Pelodiscus sinensis: one gene and its partner. Each later gene encodes a partner of the first gene's protein in a complex. Links are inferred from orthologs where the notes say so. Each region holds a gene or a part of one and is shown in the gene's direction. Other genes may lie near its edges.

The links.
Region 2: the proteins of LLGL1 (region 1) and PRKCI are in contact, whole or in part, in a cryo-EM structure (PDB 8R3Y), measured with the Homo sapiens proteins. The link is inferred for Pelodiscus sinensis from reciprocal best matches to the Homo sapiens genes LLGL1 and PRKCI. Residues at the interface, in NP_004131.4 of Homo sapiens: Ala315, Asp319, Glu367, His391, Ser392, Ala394, Thr396, Glu453, Cys483, Glu484, His485, Phe506, Asp507, Pro508, Tyr509, Ser510, Asp511, Pro513, Gln518, Lys519, Lys569, Ala600, Val601, Thr602, Leu644, Gly648, Pro649, Leu650, Ser651, Arg652; in NP_002731.4 of Homo sapiens: Asp339, Met341, Gln345, Arg348, Leu381, Asp382, Met399, Thr412, Phe413, Cys414, Pro417, Leu425, Glu445, Gly449, Arg450, Ser451, Gly457, Ser458, Ser459, Asp460, Asn461, Pro462, Asp463, Asn465, Thr466, Glu467, Asp468, Tyr469, Leu470, Phe471.

Annotation. Positions count from the first base shown.
Region 1 is NC_134726.1:34,106,552-34,116,262, forward strand, and holds the start of LLGL1 (lethal(2) giant larvae protein homolog 1), read left to right. Parts: upstream 1-5,416; 5' UTR 5,417-5,431; coding exon 5,432-5,668; intron 5,669-7,062; coding exon 7,063-7,160; intron 7,161-9,711. UniProt on the Homo sapiens protein: Cortical cytoskeleton protein found in a complex involved in maintaining cell polarity and epithelial integrity. Involved in the regulation of mitotic spindle orientation, proliferation, differentiation and tissue organization of neuroepithelial cells.
Region 2 is NC_134720.1:38,760,762-38,770,700, forward strand, and holds the start of PRKCI (protein kinase C iota type), read left to right. Parts: upstream 1-5,712; 5' UTR 5,713-6,063; coding exon 6,064-6,197; intron 6,198-9,939.

The DNA of each region.
Region 1 (9,711 bases):
AATCTATCTAGCTCTCTTTTGAACCCTGTTAAAGTTCTAACCTTCACTGCATCCTCTGGCAAGGAGTTCCACAGGGAAACAAGTAAGTGGGAATGACCTCCTGAGGTCTCTTCCAGCTCTGATTCTATGATTCTATAAGTGGCTGAATTAGGAGGGTTCTCTGCTTTAACTACTAGGCTGTTTTGCCAGCAGAGAACTCAAGTACACGGGTTGGGGATGGCCAGCAGAGGACACCCACAAGCGACTCGCAAGCAGCGAGTGACATTCACAGTCCTCCACACCCACTCCCTTAGAGAGGAAGCATCACCCACCCTCGAGGTTGGGAACAGCACCGCAGAAAGGAAACTGACGTGCCCAAGGTCAGCTGGTAGCTGCTCTAGCTTGTGTCATGGAAGAGAAGGGAGCCCACCACCTCCCCGTCACACCTATTGATCTGCTATGGCCCTTCTTGTCGCCTTAGGTCCTAGCTGTAGCCACGCCTCCCCCTCCCCAAGTCATGAATTACTTTTACATGCCAGTGGTGCGCCATCACGTGGGGATCCGGAGGAAGTGACTTGAGCACTAGAGAGGTTTTCTGCTCCCTTAGGGATGTAACCAGTTAACTGGTGGCCAGGCTGGGCTAGAGAGCGCCCCCACCTCCCCCCGTGCCTGCGGGATCCCAGTTAAGGGGTTAAATGTAACATTTAACCTAGGGCTATTCAATTTCGATTCATCAGCTCATCGAGTAGTTGATGGAATTTCCATCGAGTGGTCGATAAGGGGAAGTGCTCACTATCCAGCTACACCTCTGCCTTTGAAATGTACAAGAGCCACAGGCGGCTCTTGTACATTTCAACAGCAGAGGGGCAGCAGTTTGAAACCCAGCGAGTGGGGACTGCTTTGGTCCAATTCCCTGCTGCACCTCTGCCTCCCTTGCCCCTCCCTCTGCGGAGTCGGTGCTGGGGGGAGCGGCTTTTAAGCCACTTCCTCCCCCCGCCCCCCGATGCCTCTGATAGAAGCAGCAAGGTGGGGGGAGTGACTAGTCGAGCCTACGCTTATTGGGTAGTCGACTCGTCACTTACATCCCTGATTTAACCCGTTAACTGGTGCAAGGGGATTTTGCAGCTCTCTCCTGAAGCTATCGTCCAGATGACTCCAGCAGCAATGGTGCTCCTCGAAAGGCCGGCTGACTGTGGGGAGCTACCTTCTGGGCCCTCTTCTCCCGTTTGCTGGGGACGGATGCAAAGGGTGGGTGTGGCGCGGAGATTGCAGCTCATCCCGGTGCACTCACTAGTGCCGAGACTGGCGCACGAGCGGCGGAAGAGGGGATGCCTTGAGGATTGCGTGATGGCCACTTGTAAGCAAGAGCCTTAGAGGGGACTGTGGCGGAACCGCACTTCGTGCCTCTTCCTCTCCTTCTGATTTTGGAGGTTCGGAGTGATTGTTGTGGCCAGTCACGGATCCCCGGTCGTCCTCTCAAAAGACTAGAAGCGGCTAGAAACGCAGAGTCTCGCTTTCAAAGACAGGTCGCTCCTGCCTGGGAGAAGGCACCGCCTCCCGCCCAAAGGGAGCGGGCTGGTGGCAGCGGCCCTGTGCCAAGACGCCAGCTCGTCGGCGGTTGGCTGGACAAGTCACCGCAGAGAGCAAGTCGAGAGTGGATCTAGCTGGCCGCGGGGAGACGGGCCTTTGTATGAAGCCAGGCAAGGCGAGCGGGGGAGGCTCGCTGCAGGCGTGCGGTGATGCGCCACTGACTATTGCTGTAGCATGTGGAGTCGTTCCCGTCGGACTCCCCTTGGATGTTGCGTTACGGGTGCGGTGCAGGCCGGATCTGCTTGAGCAGGGGTGGCCGGTGAACTTTGGCAAACAGCCTCCCGGCATGTAATGCCTTGTCCTGCTGCCGAGGGGTTTTCTGCCTATGTAAGAGGTTGGAATATTCAGCCCTCCTGCTAGTTCTGCCTAATACCTTCCAGCGCCCTAGGAAGACGCCCCAAGTATCGCAGTGGTGCTCAATCTTCTTTCATTCACCGGGAACATTTTTGTTGAAGGGGGGAGAAAAAAAAACCTGCTGGGAACATTATTGTGGCCCCTTTAATTTAAAGCGCTGGTCCGCTCCCCTGCCACTTCCGCGTACGTCAGACGCCGGGAGTCCATGTACGTCAGGCGCCGAGCCGGGAAAACAAATTGCTGGCCAGCCCAGATCCAAGTGCTGCCACTCCACCCAGGAAGACAGGTTGCTCACCGCTGAAGTATTGTACCCAAACAAACGCACGTGCCCATCCCAGGTCCTGTACAGGTGTAGTCAGAGCCCTGGGATCTAATCGAGCTGTCCTGATGTCTGAATTCCGTACCAGCTGGTTCCCTCCCCTGGCTGGAGAGTGGGAGGAGCCGTCTGCGTGGCTGCAGGTGAACTCGCCCAGCAGAGCCTATTCGGAAGGGATCGGGTGCCTTCAGGAAAATGGGGACGAGCCAATTGGTTCGTGTCAATGAGGAATTCCGCAGCTGGGAATGAGACAGCAGGCCCCACCCGCTGATTGCTTCCTGGTTGGCTAGTTAGCCCAGGACAGTGATTAAGCTGATATCGGAGTAATTAAACCAGGGTGAGACGTGCAGCAGCATGGCTGTTAAACAGCCGCGCGCCTGCAGTACTTCGCTCACGTAATTGGTCTGCGGAAACCCATCAAAACGGAGAACCCACACGGAAGGGAAGAGCGCTGAACAGCTGGTGCATGAAATAAAAATAAAGTGTTTGCTGCTGACGGCTGGTAATAAACCAAATCTTCAGCTCCCAGTGGGAAAACCAGGGGAGGCAGTTGGAGAGGCGGGAGCATACGATTTTGGGAGCCGGGGGAAACATAAACTAGCAGATGGCTAACGTCAGTGTATGTGTGGTAGGGGGTAAGCTGCTAATCCGCTGCGGCTTGTCACTCGGGGGACAAAAAGGAAGGACTAAATGCATCTGCAGTACATCCTGCTCTCGGCCGAAAGGCAAAAGTTGCGTCCTGACCTGGCAGGTTGATCTGGGAATACTCTGTGGAGTGATGTCTTAGCTGTCATAGCCAGATATAAATCCCCGAGTGTGTTGCAGTCTTTTGTGCCTCTCTTTGCAGGTAGGGAAATTAATAACCATTTTATAGAGGGCGTGTGGACTAAGTGACTTGCCCAAGGTTGCACAGGAAGTCTGTAGCAGAGCAAGGAATTGAATCAGGGTCTTCTGGCCAACCACTGTGCCATTCCCCTGAGGAGGAGTCAGAGAGGCAGCCTCTAGTTAAAAAGGGTATGTAATTCCCTCTATATTTCAGCTGGGAGGACCCCTGTGTAGACTCGTGAAATTCTATAGCCCTTGACGTAGGAGATTGGTGAATGTTGCCCTCCATTCACCCCTTGTGATTGTGCAGTGTCTTGTCAGGGACAATGAATTGCCTTGTTTGGGGGACTTGGGAAAGCTGGATTGAATTCCTACTGCTCATGCTGACCTTGGGCACGTCAGTTTCCTTTCTGTGGCGCTGTTCCCTGCCTCGACAGCGGGTGATGCTTCCTCTCTGAGGGAGTGCGTGCTGAGGACTGTGAATGCCCCTCGCTGCTTGTGAGTCGCTTGCGGGTGTCCTCTGCTGGCCATCCCAACCCATGGGTCTGAGTTTTCTGCTGGCAAAACAACCTAGTAGTTAAAGCAGAGAACCCTCCTAGTCCAGCCACTTATTTGCTTTGTGACCTTGGGCATGTCACTTAGCCTTCCTGGTGTACCCCACTTACAGAATGGAGACCTACAACCCAGAGGGGCGGGGTGCAAACGGGTGGCTGCCAAGCACGGAGACCCTTGGATGGAAGGTGCCGAGGCAGCTCGGGTCTAGCTCCAAGGAGCCTGAATTCCAGACCGTAGCTTCACACTCAGTGACCCTTCTGGCTTGCTGAGGTCACAGCTCCTGTCCCCTCCTTCCTCCCGTGGGCTGCAGCACAGCGCGGGGCTGAGGGCCGTGCATGGTACTGACTCCGTCCTGCCGGAGGACCACCACTGGCGCTCCAGTTCAGTGCTCTCTGGTCGCTGTCTTGCGGGGCGGGATGGAAGATACATGCATCACCCGTGCATGGCTGCTGTGCCCTGCCGCTCTCCCCTTGATACGGTGGCCGACACCAGGGCAGATCCCAGCCCCGGTCCCAGGAGAAATGTGGCAGTATCGTGTCCAGGGCCTCCTCCAGTGTGAGGTGATGAGGTGTCGCTTGGTCCGAGATCTAAAGCCCCTGCTGGCATACAGACCCGGTGCCCAAACCTGCCCTTCGTCGGGCAAGGGCATTGACTTCATCCATAGCCTTTCCGCTGAGCTTCTGTGCAGGGCTGCGTAAGAATCCCGATCCCCTGCGTGGGGGGGTGAGTCTCTCACTGCTGCACTGGGCCCAGCAGCCGCCAGCAAATCGGGACTTGCTGAGTCTGGTCTGCGGTGCTCTGTGACCGTGCCCTTGTGGGGCTGGGATTTCCGGGGCCCTGTTTAGTTGCGCAGGAGTTGGCGTCAGTGCAGTGCCTTCGGAACAAGGGGGGCTGCTGGCTGGTTGTTCCCGAGCCGTCCTTTGACTGGCTTTGGGTAAACTCCCACCTGCCTCCCAAGCTGCCTCGTTATTTACAACTTGAATTGTCCTTGGATTCTAAGTCTACAAACCAACCTGCTTTTGCGCTTCCTGAGCATCCTTTAGTCTCGTCCTCCTCGAACTCCCCGCTCCGTCCTGTTGGAGAAAGTACTAGTTGTGCTGAAAGGGCCGCTTGGAACATCTGCCCCAGAGCCGCCACAAGGAGGCTGGCAGTGAGGAGATGCTAAGTGGACACGTGGGTTCGGAGTCTGTGCGTAGGCTCTTCCCAACAGCACCTTCCAGGCCATATTGTGACACAACGGCTAGTATCTACACGACAGCCGATGTTGGTGAAATGTCACTCGTGGTGTGACTGTTGCACCTCCTGAGCCATGTAAGTTTCACTGACAGCGCAGTGCGCACGTGTGTGTGTGTGTGTGTGTGTGTGTGTGTGTGTGTGTTAGCCAGAGAGCTACTGCTGCTTGTGGAGATGGGTGAGGTCTGTGCATAGGGTGGGGGGTGTGTGTGTGTGTGAGAGAGAGAGAGAGCGCGCTGCTGCCGCTTGTGGAGATGGGTGAGCATTGTGCACAGGAGGGGTGTGTGTGTGTGACACACACACACACACACACACACACACACACTTGCTGCCGCTTGTGGAGGTGACTGTGTTGTGCCAGCCAGCTCTCTCCCATCGGCACGGAGCATCTTCATCAGACACGCTGCAGCGGCCCAGCATTGTGCACATAGACTGGCCCTAGTCCTGGAGACAGTGGCACAGCCCTGGGGAGAGCCTTCTGCGGGAAGTGCCCCGTGTTAGATGGCCCTGTTGGCGGGATGGGTCGTACCCCTGAGCATCTGCGGAGGGGATGAGCCTCATGCGCTTGGGGCAGGAGGAATGTACCGTCCTGTGCTCTGCGCCTGTAACGGGGGCTCTTGCCGATGCCACTTCCTGGATAACGCCGTTCTGAGCGCTGTCGGTGCCAAAACATCCTGTTTCTCCGTGTGGCAGATGAGTGAAGTTCGTCGAGTTGCTGAGGGGAGCCCCCCTCGGGCCTGCTGCTCCCAGCTCTGGTTGCTAGCGAATAGGATGCCCATGCCCCCCTGCTCGGCCGCGGGGGGCCCCGTTCTGAGGGTGAGGAACGTGTTCTCTGGGGGGCTGCCCGGAGCTACGCTGCTTGCCAAGGGGCCGTGAGGGAAGAGGGGAGTGTCCGCGGCGCGAGAGCCAAGCTTCCTTCTCCTTCCTGCGCTGAGCTCAGCTTGACCCCAGCCCTTGAGAGAGGGGGCGGGAACTGGCCACAAGGAGGCTTGCGGGTTGGTCCTGAAAAAATCCCCCAACCGCCTGGTCCTTGGATGGACGGAGGGCAGCTGGGACCGCTCGGGGGAGGCGGGGGGGAGGGAGCGACTCAGGCTGCTCTTCCAGCCAAGCCTGACGAGTCCGTTCCCCTCTTCCTCCCGTCCACTTCTCCGAACTCCTGGCCGCCTGGGAGGCCCCTGAGGTGGGAGCTGTGAGAGGAGAGGCCGCAGCTGCACCCGGCGGGCTGCGGGGGCGCTTAACTTTCCGGAGGGGAGGCTGTGGCCAGCAAGAGAAGGCCTCCGGCTGTCTCTGGAGCGCTGCTCCTGTAGCTGCTGCTCGGAGCCCTTGCTGCAAAGAGCAGGCGGAGGCCGGCGCGAAGGCGAGGCTGGCGCTGCCTCCTGGCTGTTGCGTGCAGCTGTTTGAAAGGCTTCGCAGACCCTGGGATGCTCAGGGATTGGCCACTCTCTTTCTCTGCGTCCAGCTCAGTCGCCGCAAGCTGTCTCGAGCCAGGGCTGCTAGATTAGGCGGCTGTTCACCGCGTGTGGGGTGATTGGACCTGTTGTCCTGACTCTCTCCCTGTCGTGCTGCCATCTGGGGCAGGGCCCAGCTTCCTACGCTCTGAACCCTCCGGGTCAATGTTCCCCTTAAGTTTTTTCCACCCATGTGTGGAATAAATTTTATGTGCACTGATGAATCCCTCCTGGGCGGCTGCTTTTGGGGAACGCTGCTCTCGGCCCTGATCCTGGGCTGAGCTCTGCAGGGCTTGTCAGAGCACAAGTCGCTCTGAGGAGCAGGGAAGACGTGGTCTGACTGTTTTCGGTCCATGCCAGGGCTCAAGCTTGCCCAAGGGCTAGGCTGGGGTGTGTGGGTCTTGCCTAGCCCACCTGGGCAATGGGTTAACAGGGCAGGGCTGCCTGTAGCTGCCCTGTCCCGTGAAAATCACTTTCAGGGAGGTGCTCGGGGATTCGGCCTCCAAGAGCGTGAGTCCTTCTCCTCCCGGCTCCTCCCCAGCACTGCAGGGAGGGGTGGGCTGCACATGGCGAGATCTTGTGGGCCCGGTAAATAAGGATGCGACTGAAGTTGTGCACACACTGCCCAAGCCCACAGAGGCTGCACCGGCGGGAGGTTTTGAGTGGGGCCACGGGTGACCCTCTCTTGGGGCTCACAACGAGTCCGTCTCGCACCGCTGGACTCTGACGGGTGACGTCTCATTTCTCTCGTCTTCCTCCTAGACGGTAGAACATGGGTTCCCCAACCAGCCGAGCTCCCTGGCCTACGACCCCAAGCTGAGAATTATGGCAGTCGGCACCAAATCGGGAGCTGTGAAAGTGTATCCTTTCCTGGATGTGCTCTCTTGGGAGACTCCGGAGAAGGGCAGAAGGTAAGGTCACCTCGGGCCAGCTGCGGGGCGAACTTGCTGTTGCCCGTGGGTTGCTTTCCAGCTACCACCAGGCATGGTCTTAACATCCTCTGGCAAGGAGTTCCACAGGTTGACTGTGTGCTGCATGAAGAAAAACGCCCTTTTGTTTGTTTTAAACCTGCTACCTATTATTTTCATTTGGGGAGCCCTCGTCCCCTAGAGGCGTTCTCTATTGCCCTGGGAGGTGTTGGGACTGTCCTGCGCCAGGGCTGTATTTCTGTCCAGCTTGCTGCGGCTCCAGGATCTATCTGGCAGCTGATCTCAACTCATTAGCTCCCCTGTGGCTTTGAAAATTGGACCTGCGGCTGAGCGCCAGGTGTGTTGGATGGGGAAGTGGGGTTTCTCGGCCCGTGGAACAGCCTTGACCCTGGGGAGCTGGCTGGCTGCCCTGTCCAGATGAGTGTGCAAAGTCGGGCTCGCAGCGAGGAGCTTTTATTTTTCTTGCCTCTGCAAAATCTCTCTGCCTTGACTGCAGCCATGCTGAAAGCCTTGGCTACCCGTGTCCTCTCTGTGCCTGGGCTGAAGGCTGCGGAGCTGGGAGCTTTGGAGGGCTCCACGGAGCCCGGCTTGGTGGTGTCTTGACTCTCGTAACCCACTGCGAATGGGTGTTCCCCGCTGCGCCTGCCAGTTTGCTCCAGCGTGGCTCCTTGTGGGCAGGGGCTGTTTATGCAGCTCTAAAGCGAGGGCACAGTTCTGGTGCCAGGCGAGAGGGGATAGGGCCTGGGTAAGGAGCAGACGCGCTGGAGGCAGGTAGGAGGACAGCCAGAGGTGCAGCGACCTCCCCAGGTGTCTGCTTCGGAGGTAGCGGCAGGAGCACATGCCCGGAGTCTGGGATCTCCTCGCTCTGCCCCCGACCCTGTTCGTGGGTCCTCGCTTGTGCCCCCATGTGCTCCCCAGGGAGGCTGGTGTTTACCTGCTTCCTGGGGCGGTTCCCTGAGCGTGAGTCACCAGGCTCGGGGAGGAGAAGTGATGTCACCGCTCTGTGGTCCAGCCGTGGAGGTTGGGGAGGGCTGCGTGAGCCCCGGATCTGGTGGGCGGGCGGGAGGGCACGCCCTCGCCCTCTCCCTGCATGGGCGTTGCTGCGAATAGCTCTGGCCAAGATTCCAGCCTCAGCAATCAGCTGTCGGGCAAAGCTGTGACTCAGAGTTGATCCTCCCCTGAGCGCGGCTTTTCGGCTTCCAGCAGGGCGGGTGATGTTTCCTCAGTGCCTAGCAACTGGCTTGCTGATAAATAGCAGCTACGGCTGAGGGGGGGATACAGGGGGGGCTGAACGGAGACATCTGGATGGCTGTGGAGCCTTGGCCGGACGGCCCCTGGTGGGCCTCGGCTTGGCCAAGTGTGGGGACAGTGAGTGAATGACGCAGGCTTGCATCTGACACCCACCAGCTCTGCCTAACCCAGCCGTGCTCTCCTGCTAGGCTAGCGTTCCCTCTGCCGGAGGTGCAGCCGGCCCTTGACTCGTTGGAGACTCCTGTTCCCATCTTAGTCCTCTGAGACAGCTGTGATGTCCTGCTGCCGTGTGCCCGTCCGCCTCCGACCACACACTTCACGTGCTTGGCTGCCATGCGGCTGCTTTCTGCTGTGAATAGACAGGCTGAGCCAGTCCCCAAAGGGCAACTTCATTAGCCCAGGCTCTTGGATCTCCTTAGTGTGGCAAACCAAACCCCTCTGCAGCCCCTCACGTCAAGCATAAGCCTGCCCTGGCTATCGCTTGTCTTGGGGGTGGAGGGAAAGCAGCAGGGCTCTCTCCACAGAGCCCAATCCAGGGCCTAGACCCGGCTCTGCCGCAGCTGGAGTGTCTGACGGGGTGTTGGATGAACGAGCCGAGTTAAAATCCAAGCGCCTTGTTCCCAACGGGCGGGGAAGGAAACAGCTGAGCTTGCTCCAAATATGGCACGTGACTTATGAAGGGAGCCTGCCTCTGCTCTCCGTGGACGTGGTGTCCGTGCTCACCGTGGAGCGGTGCCCAGGGGAAACGGCCGATCCGGCACTCGGAGCTGGCCTTCCCGGATCCTGCCAGGGGCTCGCAGTAGGGGACAGAGTTCCCCTCCCCCCCGCTGGCTTCCAGCTGTCTGTGTGATGCCAAAGAATGAGTGCCAATGGCAAGTCGGGTTGAGCAGCGATACATGTGGGGGGGGAAGGAGCGGACGTGTGTGCTTCCTCCTCCTCCTCCTCCTCCTCCTCCTCCTCCAATGAACCTTCAGCCCAGGTGTCATTGAAGGAACACACATTGCAGACTGAGGATGGCAAATTGGAGAGAGGGCTGGGGAGTGCAGAGCTGGCAAACGCACACACAGGGCCAGTTGCTGCCTGGGGTGCCAGGGACTCGGTGTTTAAAGCACCTTGCCTGGTGTTTTTCTGTTGGGTCTTCTACCTCTGCAAACGAGGGGAAGGAGAACCCGGCCTACAACAGGGGTGGACGAAAGGGCCTCCCCAGGCTGGATCTGGCCCGCAGAGGCCC
Region 2 (9,939 bases), on another chromosome or scaffold:
GATAATATTATTAGTTTCCTGCAGTATCTTATATCTTTGGTCTTATGGTTAACTGGCCACAATTACATACATAATTAAGCCATGGAATGGATTAGGGATGTAAGCAACTAGTCAACTAGTGACTTGACCAGCCGCTTCCCTGCTCTTGTTGCCTCTATCAGAGAGAGGCAGTAAGTGGGTGTGGCGGCGCGTCGGGATCCCCTGCCTTCTGCACCCCCATAGTGGCACAAACAGACTCCACCAGCCAGTAGAATAGAGGGAGTTTATTGCTTCTCTAGGATACAGCGCAGCACAGATGTAATCTTGTTACAGGGACTGGGGCTAGGAGGCCTCAGTGCCCCCCCTTGAGATGGGGGGTGGCTGGGCCCTACAATCCCAGCCCCCCCCCCCCCCCCCAGCTCCTTCTCCCCTGCTTCCCAGACAGACTCTAAAAGACTATCCCTTCCAGCTCTGCCCCCCAGCCAGGGGCGGCATTCCACCTTCCTTTGTTCCTCTCCCTGGGAGGTAACTGGTCGAACAGGTTACCTCCCTGTCCCATCACCTACTCTGCTGGGCCATGGTACAGACAGTAACCAGTGGTGGTCACCCACAGCCCAAGCCTAGCAACCAGCAAGGTACCAACACTATGTCACAGTGGGGGAGCAGGAGCCAGTGCTGGGGGAGCCGGCTTATAAGCTGGTCGCCCCCCCAGCACCATCTCCTGGGGAGTCAGAGAGGTAGAGGCATAGCGGGGGGGACTGGGCATGAGCCAGGAATCAGCTGATTCCTGGCTTGTGCCCAGTTCCCCCCTGCATTTGTACTTTTTAAATGTATTAAAAGTCAGATGGCTCTTAATACATTTAACAGGCAGAGCTGCAGCATGGCTTACGGAACCAGGAACTAACCCTGCTGCAGCTCTGCAGTTTTTCCTCCTTATCAATTAATCAACTAATTGATGGAAATTCCATCAACTAGTCAATTAGCTAATTAAATGCCATTTAACATCCCTAGAATGGATTAGCATCTACAAACTAATCAGTTTTATTTTTAAACCTCTAACAAGAAAGAGGTAAACACAGAAAAACACATTTAACATCAATCCTTGATTTCTTTTACTACAAATGAATGTGTTGATGATTGCTTATCTAGTACATCTCTGAAAATCATATCCAAGTAGATAGACCTGATTACAGTTGTAATGCCTCCTGTTAAATTATCATGGGTCATACAATATGGCTGTGTCTAGACTGGCCAGTTTATCCGGAAAATCAGCTGCTTTTCCGGAAAAACTTGCCAGCTGTCTACACTGGCTGCTTGAATTTCCACAAAAGCACTGATGATCTCATGTAATATTGTCAGTGTTCTTGCGGAAATACTATGCTGTTCCCGTTCGGGCAAAAGTCCTTTTGAGCAAAACTTTTGCGCAAAAGGGCCAGTGTAGACAGCTCAGATTTGTTTTCCGCAAAAAAGCCCCAATCGCGAAAATGGCAATCAGGGCTTTTTTGCAGAAAAGCATGTCTAGATTGGCATGGACGCTTTTCCGCAAAAAGTGCTTTTGCGGAAAAGCATCCGTGTCAATCTAGACGCTCTGTTCCGAAAATGTTTTTAATGGAAAACTTTTCCGTTAAAAGCATTTCCGGAAAATTACGTAGCCTATGAGTCATTAGGTTGGTTGGTCTATCAGTGTCACAAAATAGAGGGAGATAATTTAAGATTTCGCATTACAGAAGTATAGCAGGCTGATAATTTTTGTATGATGGCTGGCAGGCCAAGGGTTAAAGTCTTGTTCCAGGTTGTTAGCAACTAGATTTGTAATTATTCCCCAGGAAACAACTGTTTTCTTATCAAAGCATGTGTTTGACTAAAATATACATATTGTTACCCTATGTTATTTGAGCTCTGTAAATGAAAGTTTTTAGGCATGTCTGCATTATGGAGACTATACCACCACTATACCAACATATAGACCAGAGCTACTCAACTTTGGAAGCCCCAGGGGCCACAGTGATACTCACAGCACATGCAGGGGGCCACAACTTAAGTGTGGTTGCATATACATGCAAATATATATGCAAATATCTTCTTTCACACTGACAGGCATGAATACAAAGATTAAGGCAAGACTACACAACACACAGGCCCCATTTAAGTCAGTTCTGCTGATATTAATAAAATGCAATATTTACCCGATTTTCACCCATATGACAGCAATGACAGTCCAGGAATGCATATTACTACTAAAATGCATATCAACAGAAGACCATTATAGTGACTCGCTGTTATGGAGTGTATTCCCAGTGGTGGCCATGTTCAAAGGATCCCACCTGTGGGCCGCATGTGGAGCCCTGCATAAACCCAAAGTGCACTGAGGGCTGCAAACAAACAGGCTGCATGCGACCTGTGGGCTGTATGTTGAGCAGCTCTGATATAGACTATGTTGCTGTAGCTATGCTGGCAATACCACATTTAGATACATCCTGTACTGAGGGAATGGGTTCTTCCCCATTGTTTTTGGGAACACCACCTCTCCCAATGACAGTAGCTACACTGACATAAGAAGACATAGCTGTGTCTACATTAGCAATTAAGTCAGGATAGGTAAATCAGCCAGTGATTGGAATTTTCACACCCCTGACCACGTAACGAGGTTGACCTAATTTTTGTGTGTAGACCAGGCCTTGTTTATTGGATGCTGTTGAATGTAAATTCTAACTTTAGGTTAGGTCCATATCTGAATGTGTGGATTCCCCTTTTTTCTTGGGGTAATTAACAAGTGCACTGACTAGCTTATCCCCAGTTAAATTATCCTATAATAGGTCACTCCACTTGTTTCTACTGCCACTACTTTTAGACAAGGTCTCTAGCTGATTGTCAGGAAAGAAAAACAGATCTAGAAACCTCTAACTATATGATTGAATTATTTCTTCTAAGCAGACAAAGAGTTACCATGGCTACATTTCCTTCTGGTAAATTATTGATGACCTTCTTTTGCGTCCTACAGAAACAGGTTTAAAATGACACTCATATTAGTGGATGAAGGTGAAAAATGAGAATAGATCATTCAGGCTTCCTGAGTATTTTACAGTACAGGCAGTCCCCGAGTTATGCGGATCCGACTTATGTCGGATCCGCAGTTACGAATGGGATTTTTCTCGCCCCGGAGGATGGGAGCAGCGGGACGCCCAGATGCGCCGTGGTCCCGCCGCCCACGTCCTCCGGGGCGAGAAAAGCTGCTCCGCGTCTCCCTGGTCTGCTGGTCTCCAGTAGACCAGCAGACCAGGGAGACGGGGAGCAAAGCCGCGGAGCACACGGACAGCGGGACAGCCGCGGCGCGTCTGGGCTGTCCCGCTGCCCGCGTGCTCCGCGGCTTTGCTCCGCGTCTCCCTGGTCTGCTGGAGACCAGCAGACCAGGGAGACGCGGAGCAAAGCCGCGGAGGACCCGGGCGGTGGGACCGCGGTGCGTCTCGGTCCGCCACCCGCATCTCCTTGGTCTGCTGGGGGGGGGGGGGGGAAGGCGCAACTAGTGCGCCCTCCTCCCCCCAGCAGACCAGGCTTTTCTCCAGACGCCTGTGGTAGAGCAGCTGGGGCACTGCCGGTTGGTCCCGTAGTGCCGCTCTGGGCGCTACTGGACCAACCCGGCAGCACCCCAGCTGCTCTGCCCCAGGCGTCCTGATTCAGCCGCTGCTGGTCAGTTTCAGCAGCGGCTGAATCAGGACGCCTGGGGCAGAGCAGCTGGGGTGCTGCTGGGTTGGTCCAGTAGCGTTGAGGAGCGGCGCTACTGAAGCCACCCAGCAGCACCCCAGCTGCTCTGCCCCACGCGTCCCCAAGTCAGCCGCTGCTGAAACTGACCAGCGCTGACTACATGAAGCCCTAGGCAGAGTTGCTCTGTCCCGGGCTTCCTGGAATCAGCCGCTGATCAGTTTCAGCAGCAGCTGACTTGGGGACGCCTGAGGTTCTTAAGTTGAATCTGTATGTAAGAACTGGCGTCCAGATTCAGCCTGTTGAAACTGATCAGCGGCTGATTCCAGGAAGCCCGGGGCAGAGCAACTCTGCCTCGGGCTTCCTGTAGTCAGCCGCTGGTCAGTTTCAGCAGTGGCTGAATCTGGATGCCATTTCCGACTTACATACAAATTCAACTTAAGAACAAACCTACAGTCCCTATCTTGTACGTAACCCGGGGACTGCCTGTACTGCAGAACGCTCCTCACCAAATTACTGGTCTCCCTTGAAAACTAGAGTAGATTGTTGTATCAAATTATTGCTGCCACTCTATCCTGTTGCACCTGAATGCTGCAGTGAACACTGTAGGCCATGTAGATTTCGATAATTTGTTGAATTCAAACCTGTTAATTAGTCATAACCTCAAAACAATGGTAAATCATATCTGCGTGCTAAAAAAGGAACTTTGCAGTGAGTTTCAGGAAATACTGTTCTAGGTGTCACTGCTACTGCCAAAACACCTGTTATGATTTCCATTAAAATACATAGATAAGGAATGGGTGAGGTAACTTCTTTTATTGGGCCAATTTCTGTTGCTGAGAGAGAGAGAGAGCACTTTCGATTTTACACAGAGCTTATCTCTCTTGCCAACAGAAGTTTGTCCAATAAAAGATGTTATGGTTACCTCACTCACCTCCTCTCTGTAATACCCTGGGACCAACAATACTGCAATGACACTGCACTAAAACAGGAATTGGACTGGGCTCAAATTCATCAAAACATTCAAGGACGAGTTTAACTTTACACAACGCCTCTTGACTTCACACACCTCCGCTGTGTCTAGACTGACAACTTTTTCCAGAAAAGCAGCCACTTTTCCGGAAAAACTTGCGAGCTGTCTACACTGGCCGCTTGAATTTCCGCAAAAGCACTGACAATCTCATGTAAGATTGTCAGTGTTTTTGCGGAAATACTATGCTGCTCCCGTTGGGGCAAAAGTCTTTTTCCGAAAAACTTTTGCGCTAAAGGGCCAGTGTAGAAAGCAGAGATTTGTTTTCCGCAAAAAAGCCCCGATCGCGGAAATGACCATCGGGGCTTTTTTGCGGAAAAGCGCGTCTAGATTGGCCACGGACACTTTTCCACAAAAAGTGCTTTTGCGGAAAAGCGTCCTGCCAATCTAGACGCGCTTTTCCGAAAATGCTTTTAACGGAAAACTTTTCCGTTAAAAGCATTTCCGGAAAATCATGCCAGTCTAGACGTAGCCCTCATGGAACAGTTCTTCTGGTACAACCTACCCCAGATAGCAAACTCCCTGCCCTTGACTTCTCCTAGTGAAGAGCACCAACCAAGATGCTGCTGTTCCACCCCAGGCAGCCCCTTCCCTGTAAAATCTCTCTGCACACGTCACCCGCACACGCTACTGCTCCATTGTGGCAAGTAGGAGAAGGGGGGAGGAGCAGCGGTGGCGCGTGCCCCCTGAACCTTAGTGACTACGAGTTCCAGAATTCCCCACGGCTTTGGCTCGCTCCTCTACAAGCCTCCTTCCCCCTCTCCCTCCCGGCCAGAAACCTGTGGACTCTACCAACTGCGGATAACATAGGTATCATTGTTGTCGCACGCCTTCACTTTAGCACGGGATGCGAGAGAAAATGGGGGGTACAGCTTTTCCTGGATCGTTTGTCTCGGGATAAATCGCTTTGGTGCCTTTCTGAGGGGGTTCGGGTTTGTTCCGCCCCTTCCTTCCCAAGAGCGGAGAACAGTCCCCCCCTCCCCAACAGGTGTGTCCTGGAGGAGACTAAGGAAGCAAATGGTGGGAGGAGGGGGTGCTTGCCTGCTCTCTCCGGAAGGAGTAGTGTACCCCCCCTCCCCACACACACAGAGTTGTGGCGCATGGGCTGATCCCGTCTCTCCCCCTCGCTGACTTGGTTTGTTCGCGCCTTGCTTCTTCCCTCCCTTTCGCTCCAAGAAGTGGTTTGTTCCTCCCTCCCCCACCGAGCATGGGCCCTTGGCGCGGCCCGCCGCGGGCTGGGCTGACTCTGAGGCGCCCGTAGGAGGGGCGGGACGGAAGCGTTTCCTGGAGCCTGTGGGGTGGCGGCGGGGTCGCTCGTTCCCTCCTTGCCTGCTCCTCTGGCGGGGCCGGGGGAGATGCCGACGCAGCGGGAGAGTAGCGGCGGCAGCGGCACCAGCACCACCATGTCCCACCCGACGCTGGGCGGCGGCGGCGGCGGCCTCTGCGGGGATAGCGCCCACCAGGTGCGGGTGAAAGCCTACTACAAAGGGTGAGTGACACGGCCGGGGCGGGGCACCCGGCGGGGATTGGGGAGCCCGGTGGGAGTGGAGGTCGGGCCGGAGGGCGGTGGGGGGAGTGTGCTGGAGTGAATGCGGCTCCGGGGGGAGACGAGCACAGGGGCACCCGCTGTCGGTGATCATCGTGGGGTGGCGGCGGCGGCTCCCAACACCGAATGGGCCCTTACTGGAGCCAGGCCTCGGGGGTCTGGAAAGGGCGAGTCTAGAGAAGCGGGTCCCGGAAGGGGTTTGGTGGGAGGGGAGCGGCGGGCTTGTAGCGGTTCCGGGCGTCGGCAGTGGTCGTGGGGGGTTGTAGAGCTGCGGAAGGAGCATCTGCCGAAGGGGCTCTAAGGGAGGTGGGTCTTTGTGGGGAGGCACCTTCGGCCGAGTTAGGTGAGAACTTTGCGTACGGGTTGACTAGATCGGGTGGACACTTGGGTTGGCCTTAGGAGTCCGTGACTTGAAAATACTGACCCTCCTCCCCGGTGGTGAAATAACGCGAATGCCTCTTTTTTTGGGGAATTTTGTTTTCGGCTGGGCGAGAGAGGGGTGTGTGGATTCTGATCCTGCTGCTTGTAACAATGTTCAGAGTGATTTTTTCAGCGCTAAAACTTCTGTCAATTAGCTTGTGCAACATCAGTACACCCTGTTTAAACTGGGCTGCGCTGTTGGCAGTTAAGTATTTTTTCTGCGTATCCATAAAACACCAAAACTTGCCAGCTACCGTGTTTGTTTTTTTTTAAGAAATGGTTCTTGAGCAATTGCTTGAACGCAGTTATAACCAACAGGGATTGTGTTCCAGGTACATGTCGGGGGGGAGGGAGTGTCAGTCACCTTTCATGAAGCTGCTTGTGGGAAAAGGCCTATAAGAGACACGTGAAGAGATGATGCCATGCTGGCTCCAGATTATCAGTTTGTTCATTGCCCACATGAATCTATGGGATAACTTTCCCTTTTGCCTTTATCCTCTTGAATGCTCTAATCCCACTGGTGGGGAATCTGTGGCCTGCAGGCCATATACGGCCAACTGGCACTCCACCTGCAGCTCATGGACCCCCTGGCTGTCCTCCTTCCCCATGCGCTTCTTGCACAACAAGGTACAGTACTGGAGCCTCACACTTCCTGCTGAAATGCCACAAATGCCTCAGAGCTGGAATGCCACAAGTCAGCGGTTCATGGTAGTCTGGCTCTGGGAGGAAGGAGGAGAAGAGGGATGGAGTGCAGATCAGGCAGTTTGTGCACACTGAAAGTGCTGGAAGGGAGAGGGAGGAGCAGATAAGTACAGCGCAGAGGTGCATGGGGGAGGGTGGTCACAGGTGGAACCCCCGTGGGCGGCTGCAGCCCACTGAGGTGAAGAAGGGCCTCCTACTTGTCTATCCCTGCTGGAATATCTTTTATAACAGCTGACAGCTGTTCCGAATGAATACACTGTAGCTCATTTATTTACAGTATTTTTAGAAAGATTTGAATTATTTGCTTTTTGTACTACTAGAAGTTTTACCCAGCATTGCTCAGATCCTTCAGAGCACAGAGTCAAAGGTATGGGGGTACAGGAGTCAGGGCAAGGTCTTGAGGATGTGGGGGATACAGGGGTCAGGGTTGGGAGATGAAGAGGGGTTCAGGGCAAGGGATGGGGGGCGTGCAGGAGTCAGGAAAGTGGTTGGAAGGTGTAGGAGAGAAAGTGGGGTGCTCAGGGCAGGGTGTTGGGCGGATGGCAGCTGCCCCTCAGGTCGGGGCGAGGGGGAGGGGACATGCTGCCCATCTGCCAGCCAGTTCCCCAGGCCAGCGGGGGCCATGCAACTTGGCCACTCCTCAGGGGCTTGGGAGCTTGCTGTCTCTTCCCTCTCCCCATGGTCATTTGGGAGTATAATTGTACTGCCTTTTCAGTTTAATAAGAAACAAACACAATCACACATCCCATTGTCCTGGCACAGCCAAATGCTTTTATCTCGCTTTAAGTTATAAGGGGAAGCTACATACTAAATTTGGTGATTCTAGTTCCTAGCTTTTAGGAGGAGTTCTTGAACAAACAGACTCATACACAGATGGACGGACATGCAGAGAGACAGACAGACACAAATTCTCCTAAAGTATATATCCCAATAGAGAATTATGACCCTATTGTGCTAAACAGTGAACGGATACTTCGGAAAATAGAGCTCTTGCCCCAAAGAAATCACACGCCAAGTATATAAAATATAGGTTAATATTCATTTTAGACAGTGGTACACATAGAAAGACCATCTCATTTCTTGACAGAAAGCTGGATGAAGGCAGAGCAACCATTTTTTAAATAAAGTGTTTTCCATTCAGTAATAGTGACACTCTAAGGCATATCTGCAGTTCCATAATTTTTAATAAAGTTTAAAAAGTCGTGTGGACTGAGCACCATAAACCTTTTCTGCATTTGATGTTGTCAGACAGTTTCATTCCTGACCTATAATATGTCTCAGAATCTTTTTCTAGGCTTCTCTTGACCAGCTTCTCTATGAATTATGCCACTTGGTTTGATTATTTGAATTGGCATTACTAACAAGGAAATTCTCTTCTTTTGAATGTTTCGTTTATTGACTCTTTACCTGGACGGTGTTAATGGAGTCAGAAGTTTATTACTAAACCTGGAACTGAAATGACTCACACGGAATTGGTCAATGATCCTGCTGTAAACATGCTATCTGACTAGAATGCCTTACTCATGATTTGATTTTAGGTCTTACATTCTGACAGGGTTTTTAAATCAAAATTTCAAGCGGTTACACGTTTACACAGATACCCGATTGTTAACGCCGTACTAACTCATGCCATAATCTAGGGATATTAAATGAGTAAAAAGTCTTTCTCCTCTGCCTTGACCAAACTTCTTTAATTGCAATAGTCAAGCATGACCTTCTGTGAAGGAATATATTGAGAGTAAACTTTTTACGTTGTCTTTTCATAAATGAAATATCTACCTATGCTCCACTATAAATATTAATCCTTGCAGGAGGATAATTGAGTCTTCAAGCATAATTAGCAATTAAATCTCAGTGTGCAGGGGTAGGTGATCTCCAAACCTTAAAGCCTCCATTATAAGATGAGCCACTTAAAATCATGCTGCAAAGGGTTCTGATTTGGTACATCAGGATGTGAAATCCTGGTTAATCAGTTAACTGGTTAAAAATTAGGTTTACCTAACATTTAACTAGTTATCGACTAAAGCGGAATCTGGACTGGGGACCACTCCAGCACGGCTGGAGCAGCCCCTGACCTACCAGGGTCCTGCCCCAGCCCTATGCTGGGGCTGGTTGTCAGCTCTCAGCACCATGTTTGGATTGGGATTACTACCAGCTCCCAGTTCCCCACCAGAGCAGTCCCTCTCCATGGTGGGCCCAGACTGGACTCCCTGCAGACAGGGGCTGCTGGAGAAGCCCCTGCCTCTTGCTCCAGCCCCCATCAGTTACCACTTAAACTGATGATGTTAACCTTTCACATTCCTAGTACTGAATGAGAATATTGAAACAGCAGACTCATTCAAGGAGTTTTACATTATGTGACTTTCTGAGTGACGTAATTAGACCTCCTCAAAAGCATGCATGTTTGACATGGGAGTATGTTTGGAGGAGCTGGGTTCCCCCCCCCCCCCCAAAGCATTTAGATGTAAGATTCTAAAGAATGTAGTCTCTATCCTCACTGTACATAGTAGTTAATCTCAGATTTTGATGAGAAACTAGAGGTAGAATAAACAATAGAATACAT